4 linked regions of the Notamacropus eugenii genome follow. The protein of the gene in region 1 purifies or fractionates together with the protein of each later gene. This does not show direct contact. Links are inferred from orthologs where the notes say so. Each region holds a gene or a part of one and is shown on either strand. Other genes may lie near its edges.

What was found.
Region 2: the proteins of FBXW11 (region 1) and RASSF3 purify together in Homo sapiens (affinity purification with mass spectrometry; 4 studies listed by BioGRID and IntAct, with this or other methods). This does not show direct contact. The link is inferred for Notamacropus eugenii from reciprocal best matches to the Homo sapiens genes FBXW11 and RASSF3.
Region 3: the proteins of FBXW11 (region 1) and AATF purify together in Homo sapiens (affinity purification with mass spectrometry; 3 studies listed by BioGRID and IntAct, with this or other methods). This does not show direct contact. The link is inferred for Notamacropus eugenii from reciprocal best matches to the Homo sapiens genes FBXW11 and AATF.
Region 4: the proteins of FBXW11 (region 1) and WEE1 purify together in Homo sapiens (affinity purification with western blotting; 6 studies listed by BioGRID and IntAct, with this or other methods). This does not show direct contact. The link is inferred for Notamacropus eugenii from reciprocal best matches to the Homo sapiens genes FBXW11 and WEE1.

What each region holds. Positions count from the first base shown.
Region 1 is NC_092872.1:403,849,775-403,857,193, reverse strand, and holds the start of FBXW11 (F-box/WD repeat-containing protein 11), read left to right. Parts: upstream 1-4,410; 5' UTR 4,411-4,538; coding exon 4,539-4,583; intron 4,584-7,419.
Region 2 is NC_092874.1:241,330,305-241,337,765, reverse strand, and holds the start of RASSF3 (ras association domain-containing protein 3), read right to left. Parts: upstream 3,019-7,461; 5' UTR 2,839-3,018; coding exon 2,710-2,838; intron 2,060-2,709; exon of another isoform or gene 1,973-2,059; intron 1-1,972.
Region 3 is NC_092873.1:375,686,331-375,693,294, forward strand, and holds the start of AATF (protein AATF), read left to right. Parts: upstream 1-3,961; 5' UTR 3,962-4,106; coding exon 4,107-4,197; intron 4,198-5,181; coding exon 5,182-5,373; intron 5,374-6,964. UniProt on the Homo sapiens protein: Part of the small subunit (SSU) processome, first precursor of the small eukaryotic ribosomal subunit.
Region 4 is NC_092877.1:35,862,449-35,869,511, forward strand, and holds the start of WEE1 (wee1-like protein kinase), read right to left. Parts: upstream 3,019-7,063; 5' UTR 2,944-3,018; coding exon 2,365-2,943; intron 1,580-2,364; coding exon 1,374-1,579; intron 607-1,373; coding exon 540-606; intron 449-539; coding exon 276-448; intron 1-275. UniProt on the Homo sapiens protein: Acts as a negative regulator of entry into mitosis (G2 to M transition) by protecting the nucleus from cytoplasmically activated cyclin B1-complexed CDK1 before the onset of mitosis by mediating phosphorylation of CDK1 on 'Tyr-15'.

The sequences.
Region 1 (7,419 bases):
ATCATGAAGAACTGAAAGTTTCCATGGTAATGACTGTATAAATATAATGTGAATTCATGAAGGGATTGGGAGCACCCCCTTAGTGGTTAAGCTCCAACTAAAACTATCATGAATCTATGTATGCACTTACATGTGAGCCCCTTAGCAGAATGCAGGTTCCTTCGTTTCCTTAGAACCTAGCAGAGTGAGCTACTAGCTGTCTGACCGTGGATACTGGATTGGGTTGGATGAAGAAGTCCAATATGGCTTGGGATCATACTGAATTTCATACCTCATGGAATGTATAGGTTCTAGTTTAGTAGAATTATTTTACTTCCAAACAGCCCATTGATCATGGATTAACTGAAATCCCATCATTCTAAGGACAGCAATTAACATTTTTGTATCTAGACCTTTTCCTATCTTGACTCATCAAACCTCCCCAACTTCTAATCTTTAATTTCTCCCTATTAGCTCCTTTACCTGCAGTCTACAAATATGGTTAGGCCTAACCTAGTTTTAAAGATGTTCACTTGATCATACCATCTCCTTGAGAGCTTGTCCTATACCTCTCCTCTGCTGCATAGCCAAACTCCTGGAAAATGCCTTCTTTAAGCCATTGACTCTGTCTTCTCCACCCCTCCACCCTCCATTTACTTTTCAGTTCTTTGCAACTGAAATCTAGCTTCATCACTCAACTGAAATTGCTCTCTCCAAGGTCACCAATGATCTCTAAATGACTACATCTAATGGCATACACTCGAATCTCCCTCATTCTTTTTGACCTCTCTGCATCAGATTCTACTGCCCATCCCTTCCTCCTGAATACTCCTTCCTCCCTGGGTTTTGAAGACACAGCTTTCCCAGATCTCTTCCTACCCTTTTGTCTGTACCTTCCAAGGGACTGGACCAAAAAGTGTTCTTAATCTGGAGTCCAAAAACTTTTTAAAGAAATATTTTGATAACTTTTTAATCACAACAAGATGTGTTCATTAAAGTACCTACTATGTACCAGGCATTGTGCTAAGTACTGGGGTTTTTAAAGAAAGGCAAAAAACAAAACAAAAACCAAAAACAAGCCCCAGATCTCAGGGAGTTCAGTGTAATGAAAAGACAACATGCAAATGACTATGTACAAATAATCTTAAGTAGTTAAATTGGAGATAATCAACTGAGGGAAGGTCTTTAGGGAGGATTAGGAAACATTTCTTATAGAAAGTAGGATTTTAGTTGGGCTTGAAGGAATCTAGGGAAGCCATGAGGTAGAGGTAAGGAGGGAGAGTATTCCAAGTAGGGCAGCCAGCCAGAAGTGGCATGGAGCTAGACTTGAGTATCTTGTGCAAGGAACAGCAAGGAAGATTGGATTGAAAAGTATGTGGGGGTTGGGAGGGAGGGAAGATCTCCAAGGTAGGATAGTTATGAAGGTTATGAAGGCCTTTGAATATGAAAGGATTTTAAAATTTGATCCTGGAAGTGATAGGGAGCTAATGGTGAAGGGCGGGGGGAAGGGAAGGTGATATGGTCAGACTTGGCATTTTAGAAAGATCACTTTGACAGATGAATGGAGTAGGGACTAGAATTGGGAGAGATTTGGGGCAGGTCGCCAATAAGCAGGCTATTGCAATGGTCCTGGCATGAGATGATGAGCGCCTGCCTGTACCAGGATGGTGGCAGGATCAGAGAGAAGGGGCCAAATTGGAGATATGTTACAAAGATAAAATTGACAAGCCTTGGCAATAGATTGTGAATGAGGGTGAGAGGAATAAGTCAAAGATAACACCTAAACTGATGCTTTGGGGACTGGGAAGATGATGGTACTCTTAAGAGTAATAGGGAAGTTAGGAAGAGAGGAGGAGATTGTGGGTGGTGTAACACTTACAGGTGGTAGGAGATAATGAGTTCAGTTTTAGATACGTAAGATTAATATGTCTACAGGACATCCAATTCAAGATGGGCAGCAGGCAGTTGGAGAAGTAGGACTGGAGTGCAAAAATATTTATAGCAGCTCTCTTTGTGGTGGCCAAGAACTGGAAATCAAGGGGATGCCCATTAGTTGGGGAATGGCTGAACAAGGTGTGGTATATGAATGTAATGGAATACTAATGTGCTATAAGAAATGATGAATGAAAGACTTTAGAGAGGCCTGGAAGGACTTAAATGAACTGAATCTGAGTGAAAGGAGCAGAACCAGGAGAACTTTGTACACAGTAACAACTACAGTGTGCAAGGAGAGGAATTTTTCTGGTAGACTCAGCCCTTCACAGCAATGCAAGGACCTAAAAAATTCCCAATAGACTCTTGAGGCAAAGAGTGTTCTACATCCAGAGAAAGAACTATGGAATTGGATTGCTGAATGAAGCAGACTATTTTCTCTTGTGTTTTTTTTTCTCATGATTTCTCCCATTCCTTTTAATTCTTCCATGCAACATGACTAAGGTGAAAATGTATTTAGTAAAAATGTATGTGTAGAACCCATGTAAGATTGCATGCTTTCTGGGGAAGGGAGGGGAAAAAGAGGGAAAAAGGAGGGGGTGGAAGGGGGAGGAAATCTAAGATTTATGGAAGTGATTGTAGAAAACTGAAAACAAATTAATAAAAAGAGAAGTGGGACTGGAGGTCAGGAGAGAGATTGGATCTGAAAATCATCAGAAGAAAAGATTACTGAAACTACTGGAGTTGATGAGATCACTCAGTGAAACAGTACCTAGGGAAGACAAAAAAAAAGGGCTCATGACCACACCCAGATTTAGTTATAATTGGTTTACTTTGTATAAAGGTGATAGTGAAACTATCCCATTTGGTTCTGATCCCCATAGTAGATGAGAACGTTTTGATTCAATCAAACAATCAGAACTGAGTTTGAACTGGCTCCTTGTGAGAGATTGGATCCCACTCTTTATCAATTTGTATAAAAGGAAGAAAGTAGAATTGGGATGAGTGAGTGGAGAAAGATTCTGAGCCACTGGATTCAAGAGGTTGGAGGAGCAAAGGGAATACTGAACAGTGGAAGACAAGGAAGTATCTAGGAGAATTGCATCTTGGAGAAGAGGACCCAGGATGAGTCAAGTCCCAATCAAAGGTCAGCTCTATAGATATTACAGTATAATCTCCTGTTTCCTTACCCAAACGTCTCCTGTAAAATGAACTTTGCCTCAACCACTAACCAAGAGTTAGAAAGAGATTTAACATAAGGTTAGGCAAAAAGCCTATATGTCAGGAATTTTCTTAACTAGGGCTCTTTGCACTTATTACTGAACTCTGAACTTTTCATCTAAAACTTTGTAAAGGTGAAAGCACCAAATGCACTTCAAGAGCCATAATATTTCCTTATAAGTTTAAAAATGAGCTTGCTATTAAAACATAATAGAAAATTTATTGTGCTAAGCACAAAAAATAATTTATAACCACATATTCCATATCATGCATTTAAAATCTTATTCTGAGACTGGATCAGTAGTTTTCATTTTTGTATCACAAGGATCGACACAAAAAAGGTTAAGGATTCCTGGGCCAGCTGATGTCTAAAGTCCCACTAGCGCTGGGGAACTGCATGCCCTCGGGCCCCTCCACCCATTTATTCCCCCTTCAGCATGCAGCGAGTGAACTTCCACCTCGCAGGGCGCAGAGCCCGGTACCTGCCAGTTCTCTGGTTCCTGCCTCCTGCCAAGGCCCGACCCAACATCCTCCACAAACCAACTTCTCCCTGCTCCCGCCCGCCCCCATTTTGCTACTGGGTACCTTCCCTATTCAGGCCCATACGACTCTAGACCCCTCCAACATAAAGAACCCCACAACCCAACCCTTCCTGCTCCGGGGCCTGATTCGCCCCTGGGGTTCCCCCGACACGAATTATTCTAGGTCACCCCTTAATTAAGCTCCGCGGCCCTTCTTCGGGGTGCCGGAGCGAACGGGGACAGATTGCGCATGTGCGGAAACTAGCCGCACGCGCAGGGCCTCACTGACTGTTAAGTCGTCTTGGAGTTTCCGCTCCTGTTTTAGGACTACGGTTTCCGACAGTCATCAAGGTACCCAAGTAGTTTCGGGGAAGCGCGCCGGAAGCACCGAAACCTACAAGGCCCGACCGCAGAGGCTAGTGGGATGTGTAGTTCATGAACGCCTCAATAACTCTCTTTACTCAGGAACCCCAATTCTGCCCAAAATGTAGCGGTCTTAACTCCCGACGAACAGAGTCAAGGTTAGGGCGTCCTCTGGAAGCTCAGGCTTAGGCTGCATTCGCAGGCGAAGGGATCAATCTAGAGCCAGGATTTCAATCCCAGGAAGCTCTGCGGCGGACAGGCCGCCCGGCTCGGTATGCCCTGTAGTTGGGCGCGGGGCTTCCTGGGAGCTGTAGTCCCCGAGTTGCGTTACGGCGTTGGCGGAGGGGAGGGCGGAGCTGCCGGCGGCCCGGGCGGGCGGGCAGCTAGAGAGAGTGCGATCGCCGCTGCCGCCGCCGCCGCCGCCGCTGCAGCCGCCACTATCGCCGCAGCCGCCGCCGCCGCCAGCTCCGGGGCCGTTCGCCGCTGCGGGGAGCGAGAGGCGGAGGCGGGGCGGGTGCCGCGATGGAGCCCGACTCGGTGATCGAGGACAAGACCATCGAGCTCATGGTGAGTGCGGCCCCGCCGGACCCTCGGCCCCGGGCCTGCCCAGCGCGATCGGAGGGCCCGAACCCTCCCACAGCCCCGATTCCGCCTCCCCTCCCCCCAGCACTCCCCGACGGAGGCCTGTCCTGGCTCCCCCCGCCCTCCCTTCCCACCCGATTCCTCTTCGGGTCTGATCTTTTTCTCCATTTCCCCTCCCTACTCCTGGCTCGCCGACCCGATCCAGGGATCCCCCTCCCCCCTCCAGTCCCCACTCTTGCTCCCGAGGACCCGTTGCCTGCTCCCTGGCCCGTGACCCCGACCCGCCGTCCGGGTGATCTCCCCTCCCCCATCCTGTCCCCTTTGCCCCTCCCCCCGCCTACCCCCACCAGGCAAACACACGCCCCCAGCACCCCAAAGGGTCTTCTTTCCGACCCCTTCCCCCTCAAATCCATCCTGGCTGATCCACCTAGTCCGGAGCCTTGGGCCGCCCCGCCCGGTCCGAGCCTGCACTCTCCCCCTCACCCCCATCCCTGCCCCCGCTGCATTTCTCGTGATTCCCTCCCCTTTTCCCCTCTAGACTAAGAGAGAGGTAGAAGAGAATGGAAAAGGAGGGTCAGGGAAGCCCCAGTCGCCATTGCTTCTCATCCTCCTCTTCCTCAAGCCTCGGAGGCCTCAGTGCACCCCCTTTCTCCTTCACCCTCAGTCTTGAAGTAGCTAACCCTCGTCCCCCCCGACCCGAGTAAGAGCGCAGAGTCTGTGAGTGCTCCGGATAATCGGTTGGGTGTATTCCGGGAGCTCGGTTTTCTGGGAGTGACTGATTTATAGCCCCGGATCTCCCGGGCTTCTCTGGTGACTGGATTATTGGGGTTGATCCGGACAAAGGGCTTCTGACATTCTGCGGAAATCCCGGCAGCTGCTTCACGCTGGAGGGCTCAGAGGCTTCTCTGAGGATACAGTATTTTAACTGAAAGGAAGAGTAGCTGTTTACTCATTTTTTTCTGTGTTTGCAGGGACAGTGAAGCCCTGATAGGCCCTTAGTACCTTCCAACTATTCTGCAAAAGCAAGAGGCTATGACTAATTGATGGGGTAAATCAGCCTTGTATTAGAAACCAGTGCGGGGTTAGGGAGCAGAGCTCCAGGCCTGGGGAAAGTGGATCTGGAACCAAAACAAGTCTTTGCAGAAATGGGTGACAGGATGGTATAAGGAAGAGTAACAGTAGTAGAAGTGGAGCATTTTAAAATTTCTTATTTCTCCCATGATGACTGACTGAAAGACGTATATATGGCAGGTGGTACCTGCCAATTTTAGCGGCTGAGGAAATCAATCATAGGGAATATGCTGGGTGGATAACTTAGTGCACATTCACCAGTATTTTAAGGCTAGTTTCTAGTCTAGGCTGTATTAGCTTCTCTACCCAGCACTTTTGCTACAGAAACCTTGATGGTTTCTTTGTATCTAGTCTAACAGTAACAAGTTTTTCCCTGAGTTGAAGGAAAGGAGGACAGAAATCACTTGTCAAATTATATCAGAAGGTTTTCATAGTCAGATTTTTCTCAATTCATGAATGCCTATTGAGTCAAAGATTCCACTAGGTAGGGTCAGTGACATCAGAGCCACTTCCACATTTAATGCTATAAATAATAAATGGTGACTACTCTGAATGCCCTTTGGATAGCTACCCAGTTTCAGTAGATGTTGATATATTAAGGACAGAGCCACATTTTTTTTTCAGATGGAAGTACAGTAGCTTAAATATGGAGGTAGCTCAATATCTACTGTCTTTTTGCTTTATTTAGATAACTAAATTTCCTCAGTGCTTTGAACACTAGAACCAGATCATTTTCCCCAGAAAGTTTTCAAAAAGTATATTTGTATAGTATATTTGTGGCATTAAAAAAAAACAAACCATGATATCGATCATTTATTGAGTAATTTTGCTTTTTAGCAGTATTTTATAGCCAGCAGTAATCTATTTAGGCATTTGATACACACTTACAGTATGTTATTCTGGCAAAAGATACTGTAACAAGGACTACCACTCATATATACTTAAACAGTATAAACATTTAAGATTGAAATTTAAGTCTAAACTTTTAAGCAGAATTTTTCATATTGAAACATTGTGAAACAAAAATGGTTTGATTAGGCTGATAATGAGCTGCATATCTTGGTAACTGAATACTTATTTTTTAAAAAAACTACAAATCATCTGTTTTCCTAATTACTTGGTTAAGTATAAATGAAGACCAACATCTTTATGTTAAAATGAACTTTTCAGTCTCAAAGCCTAAAATCTTAATCTTCTAAGGTTCAAACTTTAGACCACAAAAGTTTTTGACTAATGTGACAGTACTTGTCTCTGTTCTAACAAGACAGCCTTCTAAAGCTAGTGAAAAAAAATAAAAGCAAACTCTTTACCAGATGTACAACACATCTGGATATTCATAGAACATGTTTAATAACCCTAAAGCTATAAGGGGGTGCAGGTGGGGGTGGGGTAGAAGCTTCATCTAAGACTTTGCTGTTCTTTGTGGGATAAACTAGTTAAGACTATTAAAGCCTTTCCTCAAAGCCTTTTTTTTTGTACTTGTGTTGGTATATTAGGGCAGGTAAATATAATATATTTAAAGCTTGAGTGACAGTATCTACTGATAAATTAGAAATAGTATCAGTGGATCATTGCTTGAGACTTTTCTTTGGTTTATATTGGGGCAGCATCCTCATTCTATAAATAAACAGATCTTTTACACCAGTTTTTAAATTCTTTAATTGATAAGGAACTGTAGAGAACCCAATCGATCTACTACTGTGAAAGTTTAAAAAACCCAAAGCAGGAAAGTTTGTTTTATGAGTCCACT
Region 2 (7,461 bases), on another chromosome or scaffold:
GCCAGAAGAAGCAAAACAATGACACTCTCAAGATCTCTCTCAAGAACTTTGGATTTGACTGTACAACATGGGAGACACTGGCACAGGACCCTTCAGCATGGCATGCCCACATCAGAAAGGGTGCTGCGCTCTTTGAGCAAAGCAGAATTGAGACAACACAAAGTAAATGAAGGATGCACAAATTTGGGATATCCACCCCAAATATTCACAGGGACTATCTGTGCCCAACCTGTGGAAGAGCATTCTGAGCTTGTATTGGTCTGATCAGCCACACTGAAATTTCACTTTATCATGGTGATGTCATTTTGGTCCTCTTTGAAGACGAAGGACAACAACCAATCAACACTAAAAATCACTCTTAGCAGCTGTACATCCATGTTAAAGGTAACAAAAGTGGAAGGAGAGAAGGTAAAGATAAGGGGGGAGATACTGGAGAGAAACTAGTCAAATGAAAAAGATATGGGGAAAAAAAAGAAAAAATCAATATGGGGAAAGCACTCAAAAATTCCTCCCAAAACAAGCATGTCCTCTGGTAGCAAAAGGAGCTGAGACAGTTTGGAAACTAAAACAACAGATACTATCAAAGAGCCAGGTCATCTGACCCCAGAAGAACTCAAACAGAAGACTGGGATCCACCCCTGCTTTTTTTTCCTCCTCAGTGATGAAACACTCATGCCTGGCTTCTTTAGAAACTTCTAAAATATGAAGGAGATGCCTGCTCCTGGCCTCAACCTTCATATTATTCTTATTCTGTTAACACACATTTAATTCATTATTTATGAGCATCTCCAGGATCTAAAAACATCCTGACAACAAGGCTTGAAAAATCATTCCATAAAATCATTCCAATATTTCCATACCTACTACGTGCCAGGCACTCTGCAAAGAAATGGCAATGCAAACACAGGAAAAAGACAGTACTCTCCAGGAGCTCCAAATCTAAAAGGAGAAAATGCTCCCAAGATGGGCCTAGGGTTTGCCTTAAGTAAGCCCCCTTCATCTTACATAGAACTAGCCCACTTTTATACAGTGCCATCCTAAAGCACTTTCTATACAATACTTCCCTGTGGAAGGTGAGGAATTGACTGATATGCTTCAAAGTATGGAGTATTTAGAAGAAGCACTGGGATAAAAACAAGAACTGGAAACTAAAACCTGACAGTGAGATTACACGGCACCAAAAAAATGTGATTTTTATCTCATCACCCAAGCCCCTGAACTATTTTCTCCCTCCTAAAGCTCCAAGAATAAGTCTGGTTATAAATGTTATTTTTTTCTTCCAAGGGGAACAACAAATTTGTTCCATGACAACCTTCTTTAACGTGATTGCTGCCAGTCCCTCCCAGAGCCCAGGGCAGCATGAGTTCAAGCCCCAGCCTTGGAAACCCAACCCAAAGTCAGTTCAGTTATGGGAAAGGCACTCAGTGAAATATTGTCATGGTTGGTTAGTCGGGTCTAAAGATCCCTTCTGCCTATCTCTTCCAGAAGTAATGAGTCCCCTGATACTCTGCCTCTAGGCAAGACCAGCCAAAGTCTGGAAATATTTTTCCTCTCAATTAAATTGGCTCTAATTAACGGGTTAATTTACCCAGTGAAGAACTTCTGAGAATGTGGACCTACACAAACGTAGTTATATTGGAGAATATCCATCCTGCCCCTGCAAAGGGGCATAAAAGGAGGTCACGGACACACCAGTTATGACCCTGGAGGTCGGGCATAAGGTGGGACAAAGAGAGACGTCACAGTACAGACAGAAAAGTCACAGTTGCTCAGCCCCACGCGGATTTATTTGCCTACAACGGGCAGGCTGAATAGGGTTTCTTAGGTCCCAAGGGGTAACCTGGCCCAAGAGCGCTCACTAGGCGCTTTGTGAATTGAACCGATTTGAATATTCCGGGTTCGTTAGGGGAACGAACCCTCCACTCGTCGGGCCGACTTAGGAAGTCTGGGTTACGCCCTTCCCCCACCCCAGCAGCAAGCCCAGTACATCTGCACCCACAAGAGCGAGCAGCAGCCTAAGCCCCACTGCCCCGGGCAAAGGAGCGGGAGCTACCATATGGTAAGTGTGACAGTGGGGGGTCACGGCACAGCCTTCCCTTTCTCCCCATTCTCCATGCAGAGAACCTTCCCCACCCCCAAATGCAGCGCATTTGCAGGGCGCTCGCTTTTAAGGATTTTCTAAGCGCTCCACAACCGGATTCACAACTCCACAAACCACCATCAGGCTATGGGTTTTATAAAGAAAAGCAAAAGAAAAAAAACCCATGGTTCTTGTCCTGTCCGTGGACCTCAGTTTCCTCACCAGTAAATTGGGGAAAAAAGAATTAGTCAAGGGTTCTTCACTCTAGGTCACAGAACCCTTGAGCGATGTGGAGAATTGTTTCCCAAAATCAAGTTTTTTTTAAAACGCACAAAATAAAACGGGATTCCGAAGGACACCAAAGGTTAGTGAGAATCAAGGTGTCCCTTAGGTTCCCTTGCAAGTTCACGGCTGCTTCGTGAAGCAGCCCAGGGCTGGGAGGGGTGCACGAGGTGGCTGGCAGCTCCAGGGCCATGTCCTGGGGTCTCTGCACGTTCTGTGCGCGTGGGAAGCGCACGCACACACACACACACACAGACACACGCACGACACACGCACGCACACACACACACAGGCACACACACACAGGCACACGAGGGGCACCGCAGGGTCCCGAGGGCACCACTCACTGGCTGGCCGGCGCGGGGCTTGCCCTGGGGAGGTCTCCGGAAAAAGGAGGTCCTGGCGGTGAAGAAGAAGTCCTCCGTGTCCTCCTCCAGGCTGCTGTAGCCACTGCTCATGCTGCTGGTCCACGTCATCGACCCGGCGGCCTCGGCCGGCCGAGCAGGGAACCCTCGCCCGCGGCAGACCCGGGGTGCAGTGCGGGGAGAGCCGGGCGGCCGCCCTCTTTACCCCACGCGGGGGCCGCCGCGGCGCAGGCTGCCCCGGCTCCGCCTCCCGCCGCTCCCCCCCGCCACACACCCACCCAGCCGGCCTCCGCGCGCGGCTCGCCTCCGCTCCCCGGCTGGCCCCCGGCCCGGCCCGGCTTCCTGCCGCTGCCAGCCTCCCGCCCTCCTCTCCCGTCTAGCCCATCCTCCTTCCCAGCCGAGTCCGGCACGGTCCTCCCCGCCCTCTCGCACTCCTCCCCCACGCTCTTCCAGCCCCTTGGCCACACCCCTTTCCCCCCAGTTCTCCGCCCCGGCCCCCCGCGGGGCGGCCTCCCTCGCCGCCTCCGTCCTCCTTTCCTCCCCCCACCCCCCAGGCTCTTTTCAACAACTTTGGGATGGGGGCAGTCCTCGAGACTCCGGGCATCGCCTGGGATCGGCCGCTCCTTGTAGGAAAACCTGTCCGGTGCCAGGTGGCCCCGGGTCACTCCGACCCTATCTGGTCCCGAAAACCCGAGCAGCGCGGTAGAAGCTGCTCAGGAAACCTTCCCCTGGTGACTGCACGTGGCCAGGGGTCCTAGGGCGGCGGAGACGTAAACACACGCCCTGGCTTCGTAGGCTTTCCCCAGGATGGGCACAGGACTGGGGTCGGTGAGCCCAGGCACGCCGCCTTTCCCCGCTGATCTGCACTGCCCCCCTCTTTAGCCCTGAGCCCCTCGAGAGCAGGAACTGGCCTTTCTCTGCATCCCCGCCGCCTGGCACGTAGTGGGCACTTAGTAAGTGACTTGACGTGGCCCGTGATTCTCTCAGTGAGGGGCCTCCTTCACAACTGCAGGTCTGCAGGTTCTGCATTTACGGTTCCCAAACCGTAGGAGCTCCGAACCATTCTTGGTGTTTGGGTCCCTTTTGCAGTCTGGTGTTGGCCAGGGGAAACCCCCAGCCCTCGGCATTACGTCTTCAGATGCATAATATAAAATGCACAAGCTTACAAAGGAAACCCGCTGGCAAAGGGCAGTTCAGTGTTTATTCTTTATTACTTTTACATTTACTAGTGTCAAACCAGCTAGTAAAATGCAGTTATAAAAATGTTTTTTAACGGCTTGGATCCCAGGTGCACAAGCCCGGCTACGGAGATCTGAAACGAACCTCCAACTACTTCTCCAGCAGGAACAAGGCTAAGAGCCCTGCGCTGCTCCCTTTTTTCCCATCCCCCTTCCTTAGGTCAGTTTCCTGCCTAAATCTGCTGCGGTCTGAGCGTCCCCACTGCCATCAGTAACTGGCTGGAAGCCAGGCTTGGGGGGCGGGGGTGGGGGGAGAACAACAGCCCCCTCGATCCGGAACCCAGGCAGCTGTCTCCTCTGCTGCCCCGCCAGGGGCCCAACATGAAGCTGGGGATGGCAAGGGAGTGCAGCCCCCATCAGAAAAGATCCCAAAGGGCATGTTGTCTGAGCCTCAGACTCAGAGAGGGCCTCCAAGGGAGGATAAAAATACTAAAATAAAACTAGTAGTACTCTTCAATTGAAACAAGAAGTTTTGAACGGTCTGCTTTTTTAAAAATAGCAATTGTAACATTAGGAAAAAGCTAGAATCATTTTGCACAGAAAAAAATTGCTGAGTCAATTCAAATTGTCTCATCTTTTGTTTTTCTGAATCTTAATTTGATTATCAAATAAATAAAAATTAATAACATGAAAAACCAAATGATAATTATCATTTCTAATATAATGTGAGCTGGCACACTGGAATCCTGCCTCATTTATCATTAGGCAAGTAACTTAACATCTGTCTGCCTCAGTTTCCTCATTTGTAAAATGGGGATGATAATAGCACCTAGCTCTTTGGATCTGGATCGGTGTGAGGATTAAGAGTTAACATGTAAAGCATTACAGAAACGTTGATTGCTATGATGATGATGAAGCAGCTTCTCTTAGTGACTTGAGTTCTGAGTTGGAGGACTCAAAGCCAGCAAAAACTGGTTTCACTGTGACCCTGGGTAAGTCCCTTACCTTCTCAATGCTCAGGGTAAGTTTTAAAGAGCTACCAACTTATACAGATAGATGAAGTTTTCTCACTGTGGAGTTCCCTATAACAAGGAAATCACAGATCCAGTTCCTATCCCTATTCAGTCCCTTACCTAGGAAGGGAGGGAAGGCAATAATTTATATAACCCCTACTATGCTCCAGGAATTGTGCTTAGTGCTTTTTACAAATGTTATCTCATTTGATCCTCCTAACAACCCTAGAAGGTAAATGTGTAAGGAAACTGGGATAGATGTTACGGGGCTTGCTCAGGGTCACACAGCTAATTAGCGTCTGAGGTAACATTTGAACTCAAGACTTCCCAGAACTCTAGCCACTATACCACTTTCTCCCTCATGTAAGTGGTGAAAGTTGGTTTGGAGAAGTCAGACACATATGATAAGGATGGTTATCAGGGTCAGATTTGCACAAATAATAATGTGGTATTTGCTGTGGATACATGGGACTGGTCCAGAGTTTCCTCTGAAATGCATTTAATTTCCACAAAAATATTTTTTCAACAATTTTTTTCTATTTCTCACTTTTTCACCCTCCACACTGAAAAAGAAAAAAAGGATCCTCATAACAAATATACATAGTCAAGCAAAATGAATTCCTATGTTGGCTATTTCCAGAAAAAAAACATATTTCTCACTTTAGTCTGTCACCTACCTCTCTGTCAGCAAGTGAGAAGCAGTGATCATCATGAGCCCTTTGGAAACATGGTTGGTCACCATGGTGATTAAAAGTTGTTAAGTTTTTCTAAGTTGTTTGTCTCTACAATGTTGTTAATGAATATATCGTTCTCCTGGTTCTGTGCACATCAATCAGCATCAGCCTTCCAGGGTTTCTCTGCAGCTGTGCCCTTTTGTCCCCTTGAGCAGGTAGGTTGTACCCAGGAGAAAAGTACCCCGAGTCCAAATAGAGCCTCAGACATTTACTGACTGTGTAACTGTAGGCAAACCTCTTAAACTGAGGTTTGCCTCAGTTTCCTCATCTGTAGAATAGAACCTACCTTCCAGGGTTGTGGGGATCGAAAGAAATAATAACTGTAAAGCATGTAGCACAGTGCCTGGCAGGTAGTAAGTGCTGCATAAATGTTAGCTATTACTGCTATTATAATTCACCATTTCTTACAATACATGGTATTCCATCACATTCATATACCATCATTTATGGAGGTATTCTCTAGTACATGTACATTTCCTTAGTTTTTAATTCTTTGTCACCATATAAAGAGCTGCTCTAAATATTTATTCATATATATATATAGGTCCTTTTCTTCTTTCTCTGATCTCTTTAGTGTAAGTGGAGATACTTTTTTTGCTCTGGACAGTCCCTACACCAATAAAATCTCAGTTCCTGACCCAAAAATTATTATTACAATCACTATTTTTAGTCTATAGGTTTTGGTTGAAGGGGGAGGACAGTTTTAAAACAAGTCCCAGGGTTTAAATTTATTTTGAACCCTCATTTGTCAAAATAAAAGTGCTCTTAAATGTCTGTACTCAGGATCAGCCTAACAGGAAATATATGCAACAGTTTAGAGGCCCTCAGAGAAGTGCTCCTCTTTCCCTCTCAGAAAATCCCTCCTTCCTATTGCTTGAAATTTTGCAATGACAGGTTCATTTTGATGAAGAACAATTCCTTTTTAAAATGTAAACTTTCTACCCTAACCCTCAGAGAGAAGACATCAGTCATTTATACCTGAAGAACTTGGGACAAGTAAGTCACCACATTTCTTGGCTTAATTTTCCCCATCTCTGCTATGAGGCAGTTAGACTAAAGGATGTTTCCTTTCCTCTTAGCATCTAGCGGAGTTAACCTCAGAAGGAATGAGTTTTTATTTGAGGAAGCAGGGAGGAAGAAAGGTTAGTTAATTTTGGAGTATAGAACCCTGTTAAGGAGAACAGATCTGGTGGGGGCTTTTTTCATCATCACAGTGCTTTGTGCTTCATCAACCTTCATAGGCCTGTAGCATGTGACCTGTCCCCTACTCCTTCACCTGGCCCCAGCCCACCGTCCTTTGGCAACCCACTTGCCCCTCACTTACCTTCTTCCCAAAACCTTATTGAGAATTGCAGAAATACCTAGGGAATGGATGGCTCCTATGCCAGGGACACTATGCCCATGATTGGACTGTCCAGTGTACCACCACCAGCTACCCTTCCGCTGCCACCACCCACCCAACATCTGTTTTTGCTTCAAGTGAAAGATGTCTTATTATGACTCTGCACCTTAACCCTCAGGGGAGAGGAGAGGATGGAGCAAATGTACTGTTTCTCCATAGATTTGTCTTACATTCCTTCACTACTGTAATCCTTATTAAAGACTTTCTTTTATCTACACGTCATTTTTAAATGGGAATTTAGAAGTATTTTTTATTGTTGATGAAAAAAGGAAAATTTCTCCACCCATAGTAAATCTGTTAAATACACAATTTCTGAATACTTTTTTGGGAGGAGGTGGAAGGGACGAGGGAAGGAGAACATGTCAAGAGAGATTAAGCAAACAAAAATCATTTTAAAAGATCTCTTG
Region 3 (6,964 bases), on another chromosome or scaffold:
CTTCTAGTGAAACTCTTTCATTTTATAAGTGAAGAAACTGAGGCCCAGGTCAGACTAGTAGTTGGTGATAAAGCGGTGAGTCAAAATTAGCGCACCTAATTGCTTCCTGAACTTCTCTCCCTCCACTCATTGAGCTGAGAAGTCTAGAAGCTTTTGTGCTTTGTTGTTCAAGCTCCAGGACCCAGTCACCTGTGGGAAATAACAGCTGGCTGTTCTTTAGTCTTGCCAGAGAAAGATAAAAAGAACTAGAAACTGCAAAAGGTCAGAGCTGATTAGAAAAAAAAAGACTGGATTATCTCTATAGATTCCTTCCCATCACCCATGGGCATCATGATGCCTGAGAACTCCCATGTTTGTACAATGCCAATAATCTTTACCTCCATTCTCCTTCCTCCCTTCACTGCTTTCTCTTTCCCTCCTCAAGATGGTCACTTTTTAAAAAGTTCATAACCCCCAAAGAAGCAAAAAGAAGCATTATTTTATGGAAAAGAGGCTGGATTTGGCATCAGGAGACCTGAGTTTGAATTCTGCTTCTGCTACTTACTACCTATGTGACTTTGAGCAAATCTTTCTGGACTTGTTTCTTCATATGAAAATGAGGAGGTTGAATTTGGTGACATTTAATACATCTTCTAAATCTATATCTATCCTAATATTAAGAAAAGAGAGAAAGCTAGCAATGGGGAAAGAATAGAGATACCCTTGAAAATGAAGGTGGGAAAAGAAGCTTCTTCATTTAAAAGCAGTTTGGGTTGCCAAAAGTAGTCTACACCAACATACAAGTAAGCCTACCCCCTCAGGGCCACAGACTTGGAGCCTCCAGCTACTGTAATAATAACTGGCATTTATATAGAGCTTTAAACACATTATCTCATTTATTTCTCACAACAACCCTGTAAAGTAGGTAGTAAGAATGCTATTATCTCCATTTGATAGATGAGGAAACTATCACAAGGGATGGAGGGAAAACTGCCTCTGAATTCCTGAATCATTCTCCAGGCTTTGATTGAGACTTATGTGTCCAGCAGCTTCCATTCAACTTTCCAAATATTCCAGGTAGGTCAGTTCTAGGAAGACTAATCCTTCTTCCTTTGCCTGTCCAGTTTTCAGGAACTTAAACCTCAGCTTTGAGAGTTGTTTAGGTTGAAGAAAGATTCTGATTATGAGTAGGGCTCCATGAAGAGTGGAATGGAGGATTTGCAGAACCTGTGATCTCATTAAATATGCCTGAGGTTCCAGTAAAGATACATGATGCATCCCACAGTTAAGCTCTGGGACAAAGCAGGCTCAATAGGCACCCAAGATCCAGGATACTAGGAACCTGCTGGACACCTGTCTCTTTCTGTAGACCTCTAATAAAGTCTGATTACATTCAGGTCTAGGATCTGATCTCAGGATCAGAGATGTAGAGCTGGAAGGGAGCTTACAGGTCATCTAGTCCAACTCTTATTTTAAACAGAAGGAAACTGAGGCTCAGAGAAATTAAATGATTTATCCAACATTACATAGGTAGTAAGCCTGGTGGGCTTTGTACCCAGGTCAGGTCTTCTACTTTTCATGCTGCTTTTTTCTATTCTGTTCTTTCTTCCTTCCTTTCCTTTTCTTTCCTTCTTTCTTTCAGGTAGAACAACCATTTCATTTTTCTCTCATCTGTTCATGAATGTTGATGGGAAGATAGCTCTTTATATGGGCTTTGGGGGGGGAAGGGTGTCTGGAGGCAGCACCTCCTTTCATGCCTCAAGGGATCAATTCCTCACTACCTTGCTGTGGATCCTGCAGCTCACACAGTAATGCAGTTTCCCATACAGTTTGGGCAGCACATAGGAGTCAAAAATGCTGGCCTCAGATACATCCCTAATGGCCTCAGCTTCCTCTATATTTCAGATCATGAATTTCTTGATGGCCTTGTCCTTGGGCACACAGTGGGGGCAGATGGTGCAGCAGGTGGGCTGCACGTGGCTGCAACCCTTCATGGAGCATCTCTTGTTCCTCCTTTTCTTGGTCATATTGTAAGCCAGGAACTGAAAAGGGTTTTTTTTTCCTTTTATTTCTTCTTGTTTCAAAGATTTTGTGTCTTTGTGAGTGACCCAAGCAGAATTTACTTCTGAAGACTTTCTGCTGTCCCACGGTCATAGAAACTAAGACTATATTTCTTATTCTCTGGGTTTTTTCTGCCATGCTGTTAAAAAAAAAAATCTTCACCTTGGAAGTTCATTCTATATTTTTGGTCTCCTCACATTGGACGTACCTTCGACCCCTTCGGCCTTATTCATCGATCAGCCAGTTCCTTCCAATGGAGGAGGAAGGTCCTGGAGACCTCCTCCATTCTGGGGATGCCCAGGTCAGCCATGCTTTCAGTCCTCTCCAGACTGCACTCTTGCCTCTGGACATTTATTATGCCCCCAAGCAGGGTACTAGCATTTCTCCCACACACATTCTATTTCCCCTTTATGTGTTGTCTTCCTCCATCAATATAAACTAAGCTCCTTGAAGGATGGACTATCTTTCTGCTTGTGTTTGTATTTCCAGCACTTACCCCAGTGTCTGGTACGCTGCAGTTAACAAATGCTTGTTGATTATCTAAGGCCTTGGCCCTTAGTGGATCCAAGAAAAGGGGAACTTAAAGGTGTGTTGGACTTAACCGTTGTTCTTAGTGCATATTCATTTATCTGTCCTAGGGAAGAGTTATTTTTTCTTTGTTCGCTACGTACTTGTTTATCTTCATGAGTTTGTGTATGTAGGGGTATGAATATGTACACAGAAAGGTAATGCAATGGAGAGAGTGCTGGACTGGGGAGTCAGGAAGGCCTGTATCTGACTTTTGCCTCACACACGTAGTAGTTGTGACTCTGGGCAAGTCACTTAACTGCTCCCAGCCTCACTTGCTTCAACTGTAAAATTTGGGTCATAGTAGCACTTATCTCTCTGTGGTGGATTGGCTCACCATGAGTGAGTATCGTTGGTATAGTGCTTTGTAAAAGTGCTACCTAAATGTTAATTATTCTTATGTAGGTTTAGTTATATGTGAGAAATGCCTCCACACATTTGTTTCAGGATGTCTAAGGCTGAAGTTGACTTCATCCTTGGATGGAAGAATCTGGGATGAACTCTGTGCCTAGAATAAATTCAGTGTGCTAAGAGTAAATAAGCAATAAGTGCCTATTATGTGCCAGGCACCTAGCCAAGTCCTGGGGATACAAAGAAAGGCAAAAAATAGTCCCTGTTCCCAAGGAGCTCACAATCTAACGAAGGTAGACAAAACAGGGCAACAACTGTGGACAAGTGAGCTATAGAGGTGACATACAGCAAGCGATCCATAGAGGGGCAGTCACTAGAATTAAGGAAGAATCAGGAAAGACTTCTTGCAGAAAGCGAGGTTTCAGCTGGGATTTGAAGAAAATCAGACACGACAAGAGGAAGAGATGAGGATGGAAAGCACTTCAGGCAGTGAAAATCTCCGCGTGGGTAGGTGGAGTTTCTTGGTTGAGGAACAACAAAGAGCCGTGTGAGACTGGAGAGGGAGAGCCTGGCAAACGTGCCCCGGCGGCCCATGCCCCGCTCAGGCTCGTCCAAGGCTGGCCCCCCGCGCCCGCCACACGCCTGCCGCACTCCGCCGGACATCCCTGCTCCGGCGGCGCCGGCTTCTCCTCCTTTCTCTTTCCTGGTGACCGCCTCCCCCTTTATCATTCGTCAGGGGCTCCCTTCTCCCCGCACCAGCCGTCACGGACGGCTAGAACAGCGAGAACCGACCGAAAGACTCACAGACCCAGCCTCGCAGCCTAGCAGGAGGACGGCGCAGCTACGCGCACACCCCCAACTTCTGCCCCCCCACGCACGCACGTATTTTCGCACGCAAGCGCATACTTGGTCTCCGTTGAATTTCCCTCTCGCCTTTTCTCCCCGCCCCTCCTTCCGTTTACCGTGACGCAACGGCTGGCCCCGCCCTTACCCATCTGCCCCGCCCCCTCGGGCCGCGCGCCTCCCGGAAGTTGCCGGTGCAGGATCCGCGATCCGCGAGCGTGAGTCGGTGCGGCGTTTGGCGGAGCCGCTCCGGGGGAGGCGGCGGCAGAGCGCGCGAGGACTGGGCAGGCTGGGGTCGCGAGATCATGGCAGCCCCGCAGCCCCTGTCACGGCAGCTGGAGCAGCTGTTGGACCCGCGGCCGAGCGAGGCGGACCCGGAGGCGGATCCCGAGGAGGGTGAGTGAGAAGGCTCTGCAGGCCCGGGGACCACGTGCGGGGTGGGGGGCGCTCCTCCCCGCTCTGGGTGCCGCGCTCCAGGGGGAGGGGTAGGGGCCGCGCTCCAGGGGGAGGGGTGGGGGCGGCTCTTGGGCCCTAGCCCAGCTTCATCCTGCGGTCCTGCGTGTGCTGTACGCCCCCAGCCGCACTGCTTCGGGGCCTGGGCACGGGTGTCTGGGGACTGGGCGTCGTGAGGGGGCAGCTTGCGTGCTGGGTTGGAACCACAGGAACTGGGTTCGAATACGGACACCTGCTCCTGGGGAGCAAACACTGCCCTTTGCCTTTATTTATATCGTTAGCCTCTCGCCAGTGCCCGGCACATAGTAGGCGCTGAGACCTTGGGCAAACCAGGCAGCCTAAAGCGTTTGTTAAGCTCCTGCTACGTACCAGGCTCCGGTCCAGACGCTGGAGATGCACCAAAAGGCTAAGCCAGTGCCTGCCCTCAAGGAACTTAGGTTGTGGTGAGAGACCATGCAAATAAGAGCACGCAGTGGCTGTGGAGTTCAGAGGACCCGGTCCGAGGCCTGCCTCTGGGACCTGCGCCAAGTCAGTTAGGCTTTCTGAGCCTCAGTTTCCCCATATGTAAAGTGAGGGGGCTAGGCCCAATGGCCTTGGAGAAGCTTATGATTGTTTGATTTTACTGTATAATATGGCATGCATATGAAGGGCCTGATTTGTTGCTTAGGTTTTCTCTCCTTCCCCACCCCCCCACACCCCCAGTGTATTTGGTTATATACAGATGGCTCCTGAGAAAATAAGTGGGGGTTATGCAGTTTGGTTGCAATCTGTTGTGCTGTTTGGCTCCACTTTAGCATAGTCAGATATTGGGTGACTTCTTGGAGTTGGTGGAGTGGGGGTGAGAGGGAGGATGTAAATAGCTGCCCTCTTATGGGGGACCTTTTTAATGACTCTTTCTCCTCCCCCTCCTCTTTTTTTTTCTTTCAGCCACTGCTGCCCGAGTTATTGACAGATTTGACGAGGGTGAAGATGAAGACAGTGACCTCACTCGTGTGGGAAGCATTAGGAAAAGGGCCTTTGCTTCCATCGTAGATACGGACAAACGATATTCAGGCAAGACTACTTCTCGAAAGGCTTTGAAAGAAGACTTGTGGGAACAACCTCTATCAGAAGCATCTGGTGAGATAGATATTATATATGTCTTACTCTTTCTCTCCCTCTCTCCTGTTTCTTTGGGGGTGAAACCTTTGAGAATTGCCAATTCAACAACAAACTACCATATAAATAAGCCATTAAAGGAAGATATAAATCCAAATGAGTTATATGGATCCTGCTATCAAGTAAACTGCAGCCCAGCAAGGTAAATGAGATACATAGACAAACAGATACCAAGTAGAGTGGGATAGTTGTATAAGAATGTTACAAACAAAATGCTGTGAGAATTCAAAGAAAGGAGAGATCACTTCTGCCTTAGGGGAGGGCGATGGCATTTGAGCTTGACTTGAGCTTTCCCAAGACTGATTAGTAATATTTCACTGGACAGAAGTGGTAGGAGGGCATCCTAGGCAGATGGAATAGTGTGAGCAAGCACCCAGAGGCAGGAAAATAATTGTATATGTTTTGAAAATATGAATTAAGCTTGCTTGCATCATATCATGTGAAGGGAAGTATTGTGGGATGGTTGGAATGATAGGTTGTTGTGTCTAGGTATGAGAAGTATTAATTTGGAAAGGTTATCATTGCTGTGGTGTGTAGGATGGATTGAGGCAATAAAACTAGTTAGAAATTAGTTTTAGTACTATAGAAGAGCTTTGTGCTGTGGTTCCCCAGGGTCTTAGAAGATATTGTATGGTTTTAGAGCTGGAAGGGAATAAGATTCTGAATCCTGGAAAGAAATTATGCTGCTGTTTCTCCCTGTTCAGACTTATAGTTGAGTAGAGATGAGAAAATGCAGATGGGATGCTGGAGAAACATTATGTTCTGCTAAGTTTAGTTCTTACTTGGGATATTGACTCCTTAGTTTGTTTCCAAGCTCCCTCATTGTTTCATACTAGCTGACTTAGCTTTATACTGGTAAAAATGAAAGTAATCCATGCTTTCTTTCTCCCCAAAAGTGGATCATGAGAATAAGTAAAAGCACTGAGTTTTTCAGAGGAGTAGCAAGTCAAATGGAAGAAGTTGAAGGTGATGGTCAAAGAGTATCCCTATTTGGATGTTTTCAGTAAGACAGGGCAAAGCATTTGACTGTCCTATTGTGGATGATAGTCCTTGACAAAGAACTTATACAATGTTAGGGCTATAATAGCTGAATTTTCCCCTTATTTTAGCTCTAAGATCACTGATTACTCGGTTTCTTATTCTTCAGCTATAAATAGATCTAAGGATCAGTAATAAGACATAAGGGATGAGAAAAGGTGGCTTCCTGATCCGTGTGACAGAAGAATTGGTATTGCTTTAAAAATATATACCTTGCTACAGAGTCATAGAATTTTAGAGTTGAAAGAGACTTTAGAAATCATCTAGACCAATTCCTTAATTTTCCACCAAATGTTTGGAGAGAGGCACTGACTTACCTAAGGTCACACAGCAAGTTAGTGGCACAACCTGGACTAGAAACTTCAATCATTTGACTCCTAGGTCACTGCTCTCTGTGTCTTATTCCATTCCCAGAAGGGACTATTGATTTCCTGTGTGTTTTTGATTTGCATATTGTGCCCAAATGTACTGAGAGTGAAGTAAAGACCTCCTGAGGTTGTCTGGTAGTCCTGGC
Region 4 (7,063 bases), on another chromosome or scaffold:
GTTGTGTAAAAAACAAAAGAAATCCATGGAAATACATTTTGTAAAGGTAAGAGCAGTACAGTTATGTACCAAATTCAGACGAGACTTCAAACAGAAAGCTACTCGGAAAGAAAGCAAAACGGACCAGAAGAGAATTTTTCTAACTTTAAAGAACCTTTCCAATTTCAATACTTTTAAGTTTGGAACTTGGATGCTGCCAGAACTCAGGAGTTTAACAAAGTACCTCTGACAAAGGAGCACAGAAACAAAGAGGAGGGCTTAAAAAAAATACTCACTCGTCCACAGAACCAGCCAATGGCTTCTTTGATCGCTTTATGGCATAGATACATCCATCCAGCCTCTTTACACACTTAAATACTGAACCAAATTCTCCTGACCCAATCTTCTCCAGTTCATGAAATTCACTTTCATATCTTGATTTCATGTTACTTTCTGTAATTGTAATTCTCTGTAACAACAAAAAAATTGACTGTTTCAAAAGTATCAAAGTCAAGTCAACAGAAGATGGCACCAAAGAAGAGGAGGCTTGAACAACCTACCTTGGCAGGTCTGGGGGTCTCATCTTCAAGCTCCCCATCACTCGCTTCCATGTCTTCATCACAGGAACTGAAACAAGAATTGGTGCTCTCTGCATCAAATATACTTGCAAGACATATTCCAACCCATGCTCTCAACTTTATCTGGCAAGTCTATACAGATTACTAGTGGAATTTTCATAGGAGGAGGCTGAAGATGTAACCAAGTATTGCTCCCTCAAAGGTTTTTAAGGTAAGATTACTAATCAGCTTAGTTTATGGTGAAGACCTTCACCCCACATTTGTTTTCTGGATTCTATGACTATCAAATATTATATCTGGTCCAGCCCAATGACCTGGACGGTAATTCCCTAACCCTACTACAAGTGTCTCCCAAAGTCCTTCCAAGTTAACTCTCCCAACCTAGAATTTAATAGAACCTTTGAGTTGGAAGAAGTCCCATCATCTAACAGCTATAACCCCTTCACTTGATAAAAAACACTTCCCTGAGAGTGTCTCAACTCTGCTTGAAAACTTCCAGTGACCAGGGTCTCACCACCTCTTGAAGCAGGCTGTATCACCAACAGCACTCCATCTCTCTAACTTTCCCTTCTTATGACTATTCATTACCACCTCTAATTTCCCAGCTCTCCATGCCTTCCTCCAAGATGTGCAGGCAACCTTTTATTTCTTCCTGCTCTACAAAGATCCTTTTTCAACAGGAAATAGCACTCATCATTTTTACAGCTAAACACACTGCTGCCACTCCAGAACCTCCGGAACACAACAGTCTAGACGCTAACTGTGAACAGGACCATTAGTACAAGCTCTTGGGGATCACACCGTCCAATGACATACTCGTTCCAATGCGTCCTCTTCCTTCGGCGGCACTGGCCGGAAGAATGCAGCAACATCGAGTCTGGAGTGAAGGGGTTAATGTTCACTTGGGGGGTCTGCCTCATGTCAAAGCCTGGCTTGTCGGCTCGTCCCGAGCTCATGAACAGGGAGCCGCCTCGGAGCTTCACGGAGCCGGAGTCTATCCCTCGGGCTTTGGACAGCAAGCTCTGGACGGTGAGGAGGAGGGAGGGTCAGCGTTAAGGACGGTGGGCCCACCGACAGCTGCGCCCGGCCAGACAAGGCGGGGCACCCCGGCCCGGGCCGATCCCCCGGTGCAACAGACCCCGCAGCCGCCCCTCGGTGAAGCGGGCCCTCCCCTCTGCCCCGGCCCCGCAGACCCCGCGCAGCCTCCATCTTAAGCCGCATAAACAGGGGAGGGGACGGCGCTCGGCTGGGAAAGCCAGGCATTTTCGAGAACTCCTTTCTGGAGCCATCTAACGTTTCCAGAGGCTTTTCACGCTGGCTGGGCAGAGGAGACGCTCATGCTCTCAGCAAACGTGAGCCCAACGCCCAGGGTAGGTGTCACTGGAGGACACCCCTACGTGAGCTGAAGCCCGGCAGCGGGGCGTGCCGTGCGGGTCTTCACGCACGTGTGTACACACACACACAGACAGACACAGACACACAGACAGACACACACAGACACAGACACACGGGTCTCAGCTCCCTCGGGCGCGGGGCTGGCTTCCCCCGCACAGCCCCCCGAGCCCCCGCGGCCGAGCCCCGCACCCGCCGGGCGGCTCCCACTAAAAAGACCCAGGGACACAAGCTGACAAGGCCGGGGGCTGGCTCTGCTCCCCGGCCGTCCCGCGGCCCGGCCCCGGGGAAGGCGCAGGCTGCGGTTACATAAGCCCAACGGCCACTAGCGAGGGGAGGGCAGGCCCGGTGCCCGGGGCTCGGTGCCCAGGGCGGCCGGGCGGCTAGGTGACCGCCCCCGCGGCCCCGTGCTCACCTTCGGCGTGTGCGGCGTGTCGAAGAGCCGCAGCTTGCGGAAGGTCTTGTGCGGCGGCGTGCCCGGGTAGTCGGGCACGGGCGAGCAGGAGCCGTCGCGGCGCTGGCGGCCGCGCGGGGAGCGGTCCCCGCGGAGCGGAGACAGGGGGCTGCCCGGGTAGTAGGGGGCGGCGGGGGGCGGCGACTTGACCGGGGACGAGGAGCCGAAGCCCTCCTCCTCCCACGAGTCGCCCTCGGCGCCGCCCGCGCCTCCTCCGTCGGCCGGCGGCATCTCCTCCTCCGGCGGGCCCGGGGCCGGGGCTCGGGCCGGGGCGCGGCGGCGGCCGCCGGGCTCGCTCTCGGGCTCCGTGGCCGGCCCCGGGGCGGCGGGGCTGCGGGCGGGCGGCAGCGGCGAGTCCGGCTCCTGGAAGGCGGAGTCCTCCCCGGTGCTGTGGCCGCTGCCCTCGTCCTCCTCCTCCTCCTCCTCCTCCTCCTCCTCGCAGTCGCTGCCCGGGGAGAAGATGAGCTTCTGCCGCAGCGCGCAGGAGCCTCCCGGCCGGCCGCGGGGCGGCGGCGCCTGGTGCCGGCTCTGGAAGCTCATGGGGGCCGGGGCAGGGAGCCGGGGCCGAGGGGGCGGGACCGCCACGTGCGGCCCGGGGAGCTCCGCAGGGGCGGCGGCGGCCCGGGCGGCCTGGGCGGCGGCGGCTCCTGCGCCTCGGCGGGACGTCACCGCGGCCCCCGGCGCCGACCGGGGAAGGGGGGCGAGGGCTGGGGTCGCGGCTCCGAGGCGGCAGGGGCGGCGGCGGCCGAACCGAGGGGCTGCGCGGCGAGCCGATCTGCCTGCGAGGTTCGGGCTCCGCGGCTTCCCGCGACCGTTAATCACGTGAACGCCCAACCTACCAATCCCCGCCCCGTCTGGGGTTTGAAAAAAAAGGAGGGCGCTACGTTACCCGCGGGAGGAGGGTACGTGCTACGCGATTTTGGCGCGAAATGTGTGGCTCCGCCCCTCCCCTACACGCACGTAGATAGAAACACACAAACACAGACGCACGTCGGTCCAGGGAGAGAGGGGCGGGGCGGAGAGAGGGCGTGGCTAGGGATGCTGGCCTATGGGGGACAGGGTGGTGGAGGGACCCTCCCCACGAAAGGGGCGGAAAGGGAAAAGAGAATGGGGAGGAGGGAGGGGGGAAGAATGGGGGGAGGGGAGAAAAAGAATAGTAGAAAGGGGGGGGAACTGGTAGGTGAGAAGGAGGAGGGTCAAAGTGGGACGGTGGGGAGGGGGAGAAAACCGGGAGAGGAAGAGGAGGAGGAGGGGGAAGCGTGGGGGGAAGGGGAGGGTTGCGAGGCGCAGACCGGAATTTTTGGGGTCAGTGGAGAAGGGTTTTCCCCCGGGGTGCTTTCCCTGAGCTGTGATGGGGAAGAAGGGAGGGCCCCCGGGGCCTGGGCGCCCCTGGGCTGGCCCCCTGGGGTGAGCGGTCACCGCGGGGCCCCCTGCTGCGGCCAGGCAGGCGGAACAGAACTCCGTCCAGCAGCTGAGTAAACACGCGTGTGCAAAGTCCACGTCCGGGCAGACCTTGGCAGCCGGAATCCCGCCGAGGACGTACCTGCTGGGCCCCGAGTGGGGTGCCCCTCCGCGGTCCGGTCACGCGTGGGCTCTGACCCTGGCCTCAATCCCCTCGTGGGTCCGGGGGGTGGTCGGGGGCGGCCAGCCCCAAGGGTCCCGAGCGTTGGGGGCGCAGGAGGGGATCTAGATGGGCCCCCCACGAAGGGCGTCCTGGTGTCACTGTCCAAAGGAGACACCATCAGACTTTGGAAAGACGTCCACGGTCGGGGCGCCCCAACCAGGCCAGACGAGCCCAGGAACCTTGGCCTCCTGTCCTTGGCTTATCTCCTGCCCTTTGGGGTCCGTTAGTCGTCTTCTCCTCCGCGCCCACTGTCCCCGTTATCACCTCCCGGCAGATGCCACCCAAATATACCCAGCCCCGAGCGCCTCTCCTCCCGGAGCGTCCTAGTGCCCTGTTCCGTGCCCCAGCCCACCTGTCCTGGACAGAGCCAAGGACTTTCCAACTTCCTAGTTAACATTTTTTAAATTTTATTTTCCAATTCCAAATTCTTTTCCTCTTTCTACCTCCCCCCATTGAGAAGGCATAACATACTACCCTTTATACATATGAAAAATACAATTTCTGTTAAAATGTGTGATCCTCCTCCAGTCACCAGGATCCAAACCTTTGAACCATTTTGAATTTTCCCCTCTTTCTTATCCCCAACTTTAAAGAATCCCACCCATCCATCTCCTTTTTTTTTTTTTTAACTACCTCTGGTTGGGGACCTCATCATCCCTTTTAAGTAACAACCTCTCCAGTGGTTATACATGGCTTCTCTTTCAAATCCATCCATCACATAATGTTAAAATAATCTTCCCTGACTGTCAGGTTAGAGACCATGTCACTCCCATCCCAAAGATTTCAGTGGCTTCCTACAGGATAAAAACCACAGGTTCCCAGATGTAGGGAAGGCAAAGAACCCAGGAGTCATCCCCTCCCACCTCCTCATTTTACAGAGGAGGAAACTGAGGCTCTGGCTCAGCCAAGGTGTTCCTCCAACTTCACCACCACCCTTCTTTCCTTTGGAGTCTATGCTTTTGGTATGGAAGACCCTTCACACTAGGGCTCTACCCAATCTCCAGCCTTTGATCCTTCTGTCTTTCCACTAGCTGTTTCCTAATTTTGTCCTGACCTCTCACAATTTCCTGTATTCACACAGTGTGCCCACTGGAATGCAGTTTCTCCTCATCACTCTTTGAATAATTTCTCTTCTTTGATCAGCTCAGGTGTCCCCTCTGTGAAGCCTTCTCTAATTCCCCCCACCCCTAAGCAGTGGCATCAGACTCAAACAGAAAAGGGCCCACTAGTCTGTACATAAAAACCCTGCCAACCGAATATTGACTTTACTTTGAAAATGTTATGTTATCTGGATTTTATCATATTTTTATTGATCTTGTCAAATATATCCTAATTACATTTTAATCTGATTTGGACAGTACTCAGGAATATTAACCCTATGTTTGCCCCCTCTGATCTAGGGTCAATGTGACCTCCCTTTTCTTCCTCAGATACTCCTAACCCTCTGGATCTCACCTTTCTTCCTATCACATTAAGCTCTTGGGCATATTCATTTAGGTTCTTCTCATCTTCTGTATTAATTGTCATCTCCTTAACAACTTGGATAATGCTGTTTTTCATTCTTCTATTTCCCTTGGTGCTAAACACAAAACCCTGCAGGTGGGGAGTACTTAATAAATCACTGGTAAATTGGATGTGTGTCTTGTCTTCCCAATCCGACTATAAGCTCCAGCAGGCCAGGAATTCTTTGTCTTGTACCCAGGGAGATGCTAAAAGATTGCTGCTAGGTAATTAGCAATAATTGATACTTTACATTTTGTTTGAGCCTAACTACAAGCTTATGAGATAGATTGCAGAGGAGTATGGTTGTTATTCAGTCAGGTCAGATTCTTTGTGACCCCATTTGGAGTTTTCTTAGTAAAGATACTGGAGTGGTTTACCATTCCTTCTCCAACTCATTTTACAGATGAGGAAACTGAGGCAAACAGGGTGAAGTGATTTGCCCCAGGTCACACAGCTAGTGTTTTCCTGACTCCAGCTCCTGGGCTTTATCCACCATGTCACCCAGCTGCAGAGGAATGTAACTGAATTCAAATCCATCATCAGACACTTAGTGGACCGACTGAGCTGTCTGCCTCAGTTTCCTCACCAATAAAATGGAAATAATAATAGCACTTCCCCCCAGAGTTAATATTTGTCAAGCACTTTGCAAATCTTGATGAGCTCTATAAATGCTAATAATAATAGTTGAGTAGAAACACGCACATATGGGATCAGGGTACCACTTGCCCGTTCCAGGCTGCCTTCCTCTTAGCGCCCACGGGGGAATATACTCTGCCAGGCAGATATATTGAACCTCCCCTTTTCTCAGGTGAGAACCCCATACCTCCAACTCTTTTTTTACCCCAGGTGAAAATATGCCTAGCTGAAACTATGGTAGGGAATATTAACCCTATTCTAGAGATGAGGAAATTAAAGCTCAAGAAAAAGAAATAAAATGGTCCCATAATTAGTAATGAATGCAAGAGAATTCGAATCCTGGTCTTGTGAATACCCAGCTCTGTTGTCTCTTTTCCATTCTGCCACAGGAGAACATCAGCTCTAGCGTGAGGTCTGCCTTTGTCTGCCTTGAGACTTTAGAGGTGAAGGTGCCTTTTTTTCTCTAAGTAAAAGTGGTCAGATAAGAGAAACTCTCCCCCAAGAACACAGCGCATCCTGTGCACAGGCTGGGGCGACCAGAGGGTATGGTAGCAGACTGCAGCTCACCTTTTAAATGGCCAATCCTGGCTCCCTCTGTGTTGGGCTGTTTAAAGGGAACTCGGCGTCTCCAGCCTCCCAGGCTGCAGAGAACGGTTCCCACCCAGCAGCCCCGGGGCCTCCTTCCCTTCCTCACCCCGAGATGTTGCTCAATGTGCTGTTGCTAGGCAATTTTTGCCCAGTCCATACAGTTTTTGATAATGTTGCAATAACCGAAGAGAGGGCAAGTTCTTGCTGCTGGTGGTTGGGCAAGCAAACTTAACCTGTTTGTCCCCTTTAAGAAACAGGACTGAAAGAGTGAAAGGCCTTTTGTGGGGCCAGACATTCCTCTGCTCCCAG